Linked DNA regions of Drosophila melanogaster. Each later gene encodes a partner of the first gene's protein in a complex. Each region holds a gene or a part of one and is shown on either strand. Other genes may lie near its edges. The genes, in order: Nup205, Nup160 and Nup58.

Evidence for each region.
Region 2: Nup205 (region 1) and Nup160 share a complex: the UniProt entries of both Drosophila melanogaster proteins name them as parts of the nuclear pore complex.
Region 3: Nup205 (region 1) and Nup58 share a complex: the UniProt entries of both Drosophila melanogaster proteins name them as parts of the nuclear pore complex.

What each region holds. Positions count from the first base shown.
Region 1 is NC_004354.4:19,850,503-19,854,255, reverse strand, and holds the start of Nup205 (nucleoporin 205kD), read right to left. Parts: upstream 2,043-3,753; 5' UTR 1,909-2,042; coding exon 1,687-1,908; intron 1,608-1,686; coding exon 1,284-1,607; intron 1,197-1,283; coding exon 1,095-1,196; intron 1,005-1,094; coding exon 442-1,004; intron 378-441; coding exon 1-377. Other genes in the region: pico, read left to right, coding at 3,244-3,393. UniProt on the Drosophila melanogaster protein: Plays a role in the nuclear pore complex (NPC) assembly and maintenance, but with limited role in NPC permeability. Required for specific nuclear import pathways such as Mad import.
Region 2 is NT_033779.5:11,121,624-11,125,376, forward strand, and holds the start of Nup160 (nucleoporin 160kD), read left to right. Parts: upstream 1-2,153; 5' UTR 2,154-2,255; coding exon 2,256-2,352; intron 2,353-2,416; coding exon 2,417-2,519; intron 2,520-2,572; coding exon 2,573-3,064; intron 3,065-3,121; coding exon 3,122-3,303; intron 3,304-3,376; coding exon 3,377-3,753. Other genes in the region: Csl4, read right to left, coding at 1,179-1,634, 1,689-1,847. UniProt on the Drosophila melanogaster protein: Functions as a component of the nuclear pore complex (NPC). Involved in poly(A)+ RNA transport. Required for nuclear import of Mad. May play a role in double strand break DNA repair. Essential for nephrocyte development.
Region 3 is NT_033777.3:19,643,168-19,646,920, reverse strand, and holds Nup58 (nucleoporin 58kD), read right to left. Parts: upstream 1,896-3,753; 5' UTR 1,757-1,895; coding exon 833-1,756; intron 772-832; coding exon 55-771; 3' UTR 15-54; downstream 1-14. Other genes in the region: Vha13 (vacuolar H[+] ATPase 13kD subunit), read left to right, coding at 2,634-2,715, 3,083-3,183, 3,243-3,413. UniProt on the Drosophila melanogaster protein: Component of the nuclear pore complex, a complex required for the trafficking across the nuclear membrane. Together with Nup54, required for transposable element silencing regulation in ovarian follicle cells.

The DNA.
Region 1 (3,753 bases):
GTCCGGATATCATCTTGAGGTAGGCCTTGAACAGCGTCTGTGGCAGCAGGTCGCTGGCCAAGCTAATGAACTTGAACAGCGACACCGAGCGCGAGGTGTTCTTGAATGCCGTAGAGCCGTTGGGATCGCCGGGGCCCCAGTACTCGTTGCACAGCCTGATGGTGACGCGCGGATCGCCGTGCATCTTGGCCACGCACAGCATGAGCAGCTCAAAGTTGGAGTCCAAGTTGGGCGGCGGTTCCAGACCCTCGTTTAGGAAGCTGATGATCGTGTGTGACGACTCGTCTGCTCGGCCGCGCAGCTCCGACACCTTGGAGTTCATGAAGTCGATGAAGTCCGTGATGAGCAGATGGACGCGGCGGTAGAAGAACTGCGTGCTGTCAGCACAAATGATGATTAGCTTGCGAATCGGCAATTGACACTTCAGTTGTCAGTACTCACCTATAGACCAGATCCTTCTCGAGCAGCAAGCTGTGGAAGAAGACGAATACCTGCGCTCCCAGTGCCTCGTCGATGAGCATCTCATCGCGATTGATGATCGAGATGGCGGTGGCCTGAAGCTGCAAAGGTGCATGCCGCAGGCTGGCCAGCGTTAGTCCGAAGCTGTAGGCAATGATGGCATTCAGGCGCGGTGCTTGCCAGCTGCTCTGCGCGTACAGCTCCTCCAGGAAGCACTCGGCGAACTCGCGATCGCTGAAGATCGGAAGTCGGGTTGTGTGCTCATTGGGTTCCTCGGTGACCAGCAGCATGGAGGTATCGTACGCATACAGCAGAGCCATCAGCATGATCAGGGTCACGTCGTCCATGTTGCCGCCCGCGTCGTGGTTCTTTCGGTTGGCCAATTGGTGCATCAGCCGAATGGCAATGTGTCGCGGCAGGCCGCGTTGTGCCGACCAATTGAACAGGGCCATTGCCAATGCCTGTTGAATGTCCTCGTATAGGCCGAGCACCTGGTTCTGATGCTTCTTGGAGCCAAACGCGCGGTTTGTGGTCAGCATAGCGCACTGCGAACGTTGGACAACAAATGAATAACAATTTGCGAAGGAAGATATGCAATTTCAGAGAATTTCAGAAACAGGCGCATACAAACCCACCTCCTTGTCGACATCCATCTCCTCGAGCAGCTGCAGCAGGCGTCCCAGTATCCCAGAGCCGTCGACAAGGCTCTCGGCATAGTTAGTGACCAGACCGGTGATCTGCGTGCGTAGAACGATAATCAGGGTCAGTGAATCTCTCTTTCAGCGGCACTGCGATGCCTGCGATGTCGAAATCTCGAAACTTACCTCCTTGGGCAGTTCGGTGTTCCACGAGACGCCGCTAACCACCTGGAACATGTCGCGAAGCGTGCAGCTGATGGCCTTTCGTCCATCGTAGTAGAGCAGCACCGCGACAAGGCCTCTGGACAGGCCGGGATGATGCTTCTGCTGGCGCTGTGCGGTGCACAGCAGCTCCACGGCGAAACCCTCGTCCAGATCGAACATGTCGGACAGAATGACCGCCTCGTCGGCCAGGTCCTGTGACATCTTTGTCTTTCGCGAATGCCCCTGCATCGGGACGCCTTCGTTGAGGGCATTTCGTAGGAGATTGCGGCTCTTCTCGCTTCTCGGCTGCCGACATTTTCAATAATGGATTATCAATAATTAGTTAAATCTACGGATCTGCAAGCGCTTGTTTTGCTATACCCACCGGATTGCGCAGCAAGTTGCTGAAGTTGTGCTTGTACTTCTTGAGGCACTGCTCCAGATCCGAGGTGAAGCCACTGCGATTGGACACCGCGGTCTGAAAAGTGTTGTACAAATGCTTGTACGGCGTCCACATGTCCTCGATTACAGCTGTGGACGCATGGGTGGCATTAGTGATTTGGCGACCCACGCACATCTGCTCGTTGGCCAGGCACTCACCATCCATTTCACTTGGTTTTGCGGTTCGCTCAGTTCACGCAGTTCTTGCTGATTCGCAGTTATTGACTATAAAACGCGGCAAGATTGCTTCGCTTTGCGACAAGGCGCCGGTTACCAGGGCTGGGTGCTGCAAATACTGGAAAACACAGATGTTCACCACCGTACGAACTCACCACGCTCGTACGCGCTTCGGTGCTTGTGCCCGCTAACTGCGGTTGCTGCGCTGGCTAAACGGTTGATTCGAACCAAGTCAATCGGAAAATCGATGCTTATCGAACGATAATCGAGGCGCTGCATCGGTGCGTTGTCGCACCACTAACTAACACAACTTCAGTGCGGCGCGGGCGGGGCGTTTTCGTGAAAATCTACGCACGGACTTTTCGTAGTTACCCGATAGTAGCATCCATTTGTTTTGTTCCGATTCGCGTTTTTTTTTTTTTCTGTTCTCCGCCACTTGATTTGGCCAGCGAACGCACTGCCCAAGTGGTGTCCTGTTCGCATTGTGAGTGAATCACCGATGGCCGCGGGCAGGCTGAACTGCACCATAGTGGGATGCTGGTTCTGGCTGTCGATGCAAGTGGATGTGGAAGTGGATGTAGAAGTGTAAATGCAAATGCAATCGGCGCAGTTCGGCTGCAATAAATGCCAAAAGGGATACTAACTGCCAAAGCCAGTGCAATTGGAAGGAAAATTCAAATTTCATTGGGAATTATTCGAATTGGAATTGAATTTGTAACTGGAGTTGGAGTTCAGAGTACTTGGTACTGGGTGTGCGAGAGCGACAGAGAGGAAGAGAGGCAGTGCAAGTGTGTGGGGGTAGCAGTCACACAGGCACACACGAACATACTCACAACTCCAGTGCATAAAACTCCAAACTGCGTTCGCCTCTCTCTTTTCGTTTCGCTTGCTCTCTCCCCTACGTTCGCCCACGCAACGCCTGGCGAGCGAGAGAGAGAGCGGTATAGAAGAGCAAGGGAGCCAGAGCGAGAGAGCAAGGAAGTGGTTTTTCCACCGAAAATATGGACAAAGGCAAACTGCAGAGTTAGCTGAAAATAAAAAAAAATAAAAAAAAGGAACAAGACACAAACAGTGACTGAAATAGCGGTTAACAGCGCTCCCTTACGGCGAATCGTTGAAATTCAAGACGGAGAGCTATCGCATTTCTTCAATTATGTCTGTTTCGCTTTTCATTCCGCTGCAGTAAGCGATCGCGCGAAGGAGCAGCAATACAGAGAGCGAGATTTGGAGAGAGAGAGAGAGAGATAGAGAGTGCGCTCCCAATTGACGACTCCACTCCACTCCCACACACACTTAACCCCGCCCCCTCGCACCCGTAATTACTATGGATTGTGGTGGTATTGCGGCACATCAGCAACAACAACTACAACAGCAACAACTGCACTTACTCCAGCAACAGCTACAACAACAACACCACCAGCAGCAGCGGCAACAACAACAGCACAGCCTCGAGGAAGCAGCAACAATAACAAATGTAAGTATCTCCCAAGTTTCTCCAAATGTGTGTGTGCGTTTGTGTTGCTCGACCATTTCCTCTGTACTTCATAATTCGCTCCCACACACAAAAAAAAAAGAAGTCATAGGACAGAGTACACAGGAAGAAACTGAACTATACCTTTAAAGTACAGCTTCTTCAAATTATAGTAAGAACGGTGCAAATGGTAGACTCACATATGGTTGGTAATTGTATTAACTATAATTCTCTATTAGTGTTTTTTTTTTCGAGTGTATTCAGTATACTTTACTCCTTGGCTATGAAAATAACCTAGTTATGCAGTGCTAGGTGATCAAAAGACTTCAAATTCGGTACTCCAAAGTTGAGACTGCCCAACTA
Region 2 (3,753 bases), on another chromosome or scaffold:
TGGCCGTGGTTCTTCTGCTGCTGGTCTGCGACTGACAATAGGAAGGAACTTATGTTTTTGAGCTGGCCGGAACTGGGGACTCTACGACGACAACTACGACAGGGCCAACTACCCGTCGGCTGTTCACTTGCAGCGCATATTGGTCGTATTCCCCCTCGATTTAATTTGAATATTAACCGGGCTTCGAACCACCGAAACAAACCGACTGCGTTTCCCATCGACCAAACAATGATTGGTTGTTTGGATCCCCCAGGACTCGCTAAGCTCCCTGCCCACCGATCCACCTGTAACTTTTCCTATGCATTTGCATTTCTTCGGCAAGACAAGACACGGTGGCCTAGTCCCGGAGCAGCTCATTGCTCCAGGCTGCCTGCTCCCGCTCCTCTGATTGAATTAGTCGCGGCTCCTGCACGCGAAACGAACTTCCATTTGCTATTTGCATAGGAATAGTCATCCATCAACAACAGCTCCCAGCGACATTGATTGGCAACGGGCTACGGGTTTTTACGCCTCTGACGCCTGAGCCTTTACAACCATCTATTTGCCTTTATGATTATATATTTTTTTTTTTGGGAACACGTGCAATTGCATGTTATTGAAATTCGGATTACTTGGAATAAGTACCTGTCGTTTACCCTAAAAGTTTTTATGTTGCCAACCTATAAAGTGCATGTGCCTGCATATATTTAGATTACCTTGTGTTTATGAATTATTTTAAACATAAAATATGTTTTGTTAAGTTGCTAGAACAAATTACCGCACAATTTCTTTAATCTATTCCCATGACTTTCGAATCTATAGAGATACTTTTAAAAACAGCAATTGCATGACGATCCAATATTAAATTCTAATCTCTTGTTGAATCATTATAACAAACCAATCATGAATAAATAACAAATATAAGATACGTATCAATCATAAAAGCTAAACTATGGAAACCAGCTTGTTTTGAACTTTTACAACTTAATTATAGATTTATTTAATGATTTGAAATAATGTAAACTGTCAAATAGCTACTTATCAACGTTGCTATGGAAATAAAATGCTAACATAAACCTGTATCCATATTCAGCGTCCTCTGGTTGCCAAGACATATAATTATTTGGCTAATAATCACTTACTAAAACATTTTTAGTTCCACAAATGAATTTAAGCTTCTGATTAACATGCGATTGACCTTATTTCACAGCATTTATTGAACTCTCAGGCAGAACTTTAGCCACTTTCCGTGGCTCCTTGATCGTGGTCTGGGGGCACTGCATCTCGCTCCAGCCGACCGGCACCATGGGCACCCGGGTCTTCCGGTAATCACTGGCATAGGCGATGACCACGCCGAGTTCATTTTCGGCGGTGGTCAGGAGGAAGGACTGCTCCAGTTGGTTAATGACCCTCGCCAGGATGACATCGCCCGGCCGGAAGGACTTGTAGATATCGACGCGATCTTTTTCGGTCTCCCGGACATCCTCCTTGCGCAGAAGTCCGCGGTAGCTGCTTTCCAGCAGCACATTTCGTACGCAGAAAATGGCGCACTTGGCGAATTTTGGAGTTGTGACGAGAACTCTGGCTGTGACCACGTCTCCGGTGGCTGGGATGGTTAGATGAAATCCGGGCTTATGCACACTAACCACCTGGCACTGAAATGGAGATTAATTGGTTCCCAGAGTCAACGAAATGCCAGGATTACTTACTTTATCACCCGAATCTTCGATGTTGACAATTCCAGACTTGGAGGCGTAAATGTAGCCATTCTGCTCGTAGGTGCCTATGCCCAGGACTATGCTGTCCTCGGTTCTGCAGAGTCGCTCCCCGGGCAGGCAGACTACAGTCTCATCCTGCTGTTCACTCATTTTTAGGCCAGAGACAGTTTTTATTTTAAAAAATAAACTAAATAATAAAGCCGCATCAACAAATGGAAACACACGTGCAATGCAGTGTGACCAATATGTGGCAATTGTTAAAATGCTAGCGACAACTTTCTTAATATCACAAGATTTAAAGGCATCTTATATCATTCCTGCTTTGCTATAATAAACTTTATTGTCATGAAATTACATTTAGGAAAATGTACAATTTTTAACTAACTTCTGTAATTAACTTTTGTATGTGAGTATAAAAAGCTATGTCGACTATTTTGCCTGGTGTGCACCGCTGGCGTAAGCGTTTTCCAACACTACTACTGAGCGTGTTTACGCCGGTGCCGCCAATAATTTTCCGTTTTCGTTGAGGTTTTTATATTAATTTGTTGTGCTAGCAAGATGCCCACATCCAAACTGCAAGCCAACATGAGCTACCGCGAGGTCATACCGCGGAACCTCAGTCCGGCGGAGTGGATCGAGGTGAAAATTAACACGGGTGAGTTTCGTGCAAGATTGCCAGAGAAATTCTGAGTAACCAAATGCTCCTCCGCAAAATGTAGGAACCCAGAGCACTTTGCAGGATTTAAAAACCTTCGAAACCTCCGGCGGCTATTGCTACAAGAATACGAAAAATGTTCAGACCAGAAACCGTTTCATATATTGGTAAGTGCAAATCAGAATCGTTAAATTAGTTTCACATGGCCACTGATTTGCAGGCGGACATACCAGGATGTCCTGGAACTATCAGAGGTTAGTTTGGACATCTCCCTGCAGAGGAATCACCTGCGTCTGCGATTCACCGACTCCGCTGTGCTGAATGTATCACTCACGGAGCAAGGTACATCCGTCACCCTGCTGGTGGTCACGGTCAGCAGTGTGCATCGCTATGTGTTTCCCTTGAAGGTCGCTGGGCAGGAAGGTGGCGCAGCTTCTCCAGAGGATCTGCTATCCCAGTCCATTTTCTACGACGTCAATGACAAGATCAATGATCCCAGCACTTACTATGTCACGGATGGCTTTGGAACTATGCCCAACGCGGCTGTATCGTACCTCACTCAAGACTCCCAGTCAGCCTACTTTGCGGTGGCGTATCAGAGCAAACTACTGCTTCACGTTATGAAATGCTCCACCGGCCATACTATCACCCACGAAATCAAGGAGCCGAAGCTAATGCCATGGTTTCTGTCGAATCTCAAGGGTGCCCTCACGTAAGTGGATAAACCTCGATAAATGGCAAATCCCTAATGTTTCATTAATCATTGTAGCGGCCGCTCTGAAACGTTGGAGGCAGCCACGTCCATGGCTTTCAGTGAAATCGGGGGGGAAATTTTCATTCTGGTTCTGTATCGCAATAATGAGCTGCGTCTATGGTCAGTGGATAACTTGCAGACTGTAGCCAGCATTAACTGCTCCACCGAACTGGGACAGGACTCAGCAGCTCAAGGACGTGAGTATAAAATATTATTACGATTTAGATTTATGATCTAGATATAATGGGATTATATTCTTTTTTTTAACAGCACAAAACAGCCAGCTCCGAAAAATAAGCGATCAAAACTTCTGTCTATTTCTCTCGCACAATTCCCGAGCTGAGTTTATATGCGTTAGCATAATGCCCGATGCCGACGATGCCAGCGTTATCAATTTGGTGCAGAACATGGTGCCGGCGCCGCAAACGGATTTGGTCGACTTCGATGCCACATCCTCGCACATCTGGGCCCTTTGGAGCAACGCTGAAGGCGATTTCCATGTCTCGGCAGCATATTTTGCCTCCAACAACGCAATCAAATGGGTTTCGGCTGCTCTAGAACCGCCACCGGATCGGTATTGTCTCACCATGGAGCAGGGAGTGGATCCACGCGAAACTTACTGCAGCTATATATTTCATCCTGGTCGA
Region 3 (3,753 bases), on another chromosome or scaffold:
GTCTAGGCCCCTTTCGACATAACGATTTATTGAAACTTGTAAAGAGTGCCATTCTCAATTGCCTGTCGCATTGCTGGCGGAACTGGCCGCCGCTGCATAGGACTTGTTCATCAGAGCCGAGATGTTGGAGAAGGGCGTTGGACCGCTACTAATCCGTTGAGGTTCCACCGTCGGCAGCGGAGGATTGTCAATCCGCTCGAAAACGTTGGTGGTGTCTCGCAGGCGGTAGCGTCTGAGGTTTAGGTAGTGCTCCTTGTGCTCCTCCACCCGCTGATGCACCTCGTGGAGGCGTCCCGCCAGCGAGATGAAACTCTCATTAAGTTGGCGAAAGCCACGCTTTAGATCATCCGGCGAAATACTCTGCGGATTCGAGATCGCGTGCATGTGGCGCTCGGTCAGAGCGATCTGCTGGCGAAAGGCGATCAAATCCTGCTCGTACTTCGCCACCAGGCACTGAAAGTACTGGAACGGAGCATTGTTCTCGAACTGCAGGCCGGCTGGGGTGTCCTGCGTGCGTTGGGCCATCTCCAGAGATTGAATCGCCTTGACGGTCTCTTGGCGCATCAGGCGGATCTGCTGATTGCTGCCCTCAACTAAAGTGGCCATATTCTGCAGCGCCCATTTCAAGTTCGTGATCTCGTGGCTGACATTCGTGAATTTGGAGGTGGATGTCCGTCCAATGTCAGAGGAGATGGTCTTCTGCTGTTTGATATACGCTTTTAGGCCATCCACCGTTTTTATTATCTCGTCGGGCACTTGGGTTTCCTTAATCTGGAGTGGTCGAAAATAAAATGATTATTTTGTTTCTCTGTGAAAGACTCATGGTCAGCACCTTGATGCCATCTTGCTTATTGTCCCCCAGCTTTGGTTGCGTGGCGGTCACATCGATCCCCCCCAGACCCACGAAAGTCGATGCTGCCGGGGCAGCTGCCTGACCCGCTGGCTTGCTAAAGATTCCTCCTCCTCCTAGGGTTGTCGTCGCATTGGTGGTTCCCAGTTTCAGACCCGTGTTGAAGGGTTGTGCCGTCGCCGTCGTCGTGGTTGTGTTAAAGTTCAAGCTGGCCGCCGTGGTGGCCTGTGGCTTGGGGAAGGAAAACGATCCAATTCCGGAGCTGAGGGATGCTGGCATCGCAGCTGCCGCCGTTGTGGCGGTGGTGCCGAATCCAAAGGCCGGCGGCGCGGTGGTCGGCGCACTTGTGGCCGGGGTGGCAAAGGAGAAAGTGGGAGCCACAGTGCCCACGGCTGGTGCAGGTGCTCCGAAGGCCGATGCTTGCGTGGAAGCTGGCGCTCCAAACGCCGTTGTGGCTGCTGGTGCTCCAAAGGCGGATGTAGCGGCGGGTGCTCCAAAAGCGGGCGTGGCGGCGGGTGCTCCGAAAGCGGGAGTGGCAGCTGCAGCTCCAAAAGCGGGCGTAGCAGCTGGAGCTCCAAAAGCCGACGTTGCTGCTGGTATGCCAAAAGCGGGCGTGGCAGCAGCCGTTCCAAAAGCCGGCGCCGCAGTGGAAGTGGCGCCAAAACCAGGCGTGGACGCAGGTGCTCCAAAAGCCGGCGTAGCAGCTGGTGCCCCAAAGGCCGGTGTGGCCGCGGGAGCTGCAAACAAGGAGGTGGTGGCCGGAGCAGCACCGAAGGTTGGCGTAGAGGTGGCTGCTCCAAAGGATGGAGGCGGAGCAGTCGTCGTCGCCGGTCGCGCGCCAAAAGCAAAAGCGCCGGTAGCAGCAGTGGCGCCTCCAATGGCGTTGTTCGTGGTGGGCGTAAACATCTTTAGGCACCCCTCTTAAGGATTTATACAGGAATTTTAAACAATTAAACTATATTTACTGCAACAAATTTCGAAATTAATTTTGTTTAATGCCTGAGCATCTGTGGTTTAACTTCTAGGACAGAGATGACACTATCGGTGATATCGATAGCTAGTCAGCAGAGATTTATTCGGAAAAATATCAACAAAGTATTCAAATTGATTGAAATAAATACACTATGGCTAAAGATATATAAAGTATTTGCAGCTTCATATAGTTACGATTTGTGATTTTCAAATATTTAATTTTGGTCTGAGGTGTGGTGAGTTCGGTCCACTACAACATGGTTGTTATTTAATATCAAACGATAGCCTTCAGATATTAATATGAATAAATTATTTCAAAATTTAATCTTTATGTATTTCAATTTTAAAATAATATAAAGAATTTTTTACGAACTAATTTCTTACAATAGCTTTAAATACAGCCGGAACTATTACAGTGCGAAGCAGATTAAACGCTGCATTTAAATTAAAATGAATTAAAGTTTACAAAATTATAAAAGAAAAATATTCATGATGGGAATAAATGAGAAAGTTAATGCTTACAAAAACGTCAAATTATTTAATACTTCTGGCCAATACAATACCAAACAATAATATACAACTAAGCTAATCGATATGCAATCGACCGAGCCATCTCCAAGAGTTTCGCAGCACCCAGCTTTCCGGCACACTGCTTACCCACACCAACTAGCCACCGTGGTGAGTTTGCGTGTGTGTGACTTCGTCATATGACATTTTTCACAGTTCGTCGTCGATTGTGATTCTGTCGCACTTGCTTTTTTCGACTTGCACAGTATACACCACGGCGAGGAATTAGAGAAGTTTGGAAATTATGGCCAGCCAGACGCAGGGAATCCAGCAGTTGCTCGCTGCCGAGAAAAAGGCAGCCGAGAAGGTCGCCGAGGCTCGTAAACGTAAGTTTCATTTTCAGAAACAAAAATCCAATTGGAAATGGCAGGGCGACAAGTAACTGCGATTTTTTCACCACCCCGCCCCCGTGCTACCATAACCACCATCACCGTTGTGTGTGGGTCACATGATGTGGTGGAAAAAAGTAAATACAAGTCAATCCTCCATAACTCGAGATATAAATCAAATTAAACTAAATTAAATTAAATTAAATTAAATTAAAATTGTTTGTGGCCACTAAGACTGCAACTTAAGTGCAGTAAATAGTTTTTGTGCGAGTTGGCACTTTAAGTTATGGAAGGTCATCTTGCGGAGGGCTGATTTGCCAAGTTGAACTGATATGATCATCTGGATTTCTGGGTAATCCCGCAGGCAAGGCAAGGAGGTTGAAGCAAGCCAAGGACGAGGCTACCGAGGAGATCGAGAAGTTCCGCCAGGAGCGCGAGCGCGCCTTCAAGGAGTTCGAGGCCAAGGTAAGACGCCACATAGGGAAACTTATGTACATGTAATACCGTGTGAACCCCGATTACAGCACATGGGCAGTCGCGAGGGCGTGGCGGCCAAGATCGATGCGGATATCCGCGTTAAGCTGGCCGACATGGACCGGGCCATCCAGACCCGCAAGGACCCGTTCATCCTGGAGATCCTGCAGTACGTGTACAACATCTCGCCCGAGGTGCACAAAAACTACAACCACAAGTAAAGAGGTGGCCCCCCAAACTGTGCGCTGTAAATTCAATGTCCACGTTCAACTCTAATCCATAATTTAGACCCGTAATAATAGTGGTTAATCTAACTGGAAACACTGCTGTATTATTATTCCATACATTAAAGTGAAAATTCGTTGTTGTTCCATGTAGAAAAAAGCGAGCATATTAGTTTGCCTCCCACTCGCGCGGGATTGTATTATCATTGTTTTGTGTTCTGCCCAATACACGTTGTTGTTTTATCCGAAAAGTCATGTGTTTCAATTGTTTTCCTCACTTTCTTCCTGCTCGCATTTTTCATATCTGCACTGCAGTCAGCTGCTGCGTGATAAGATT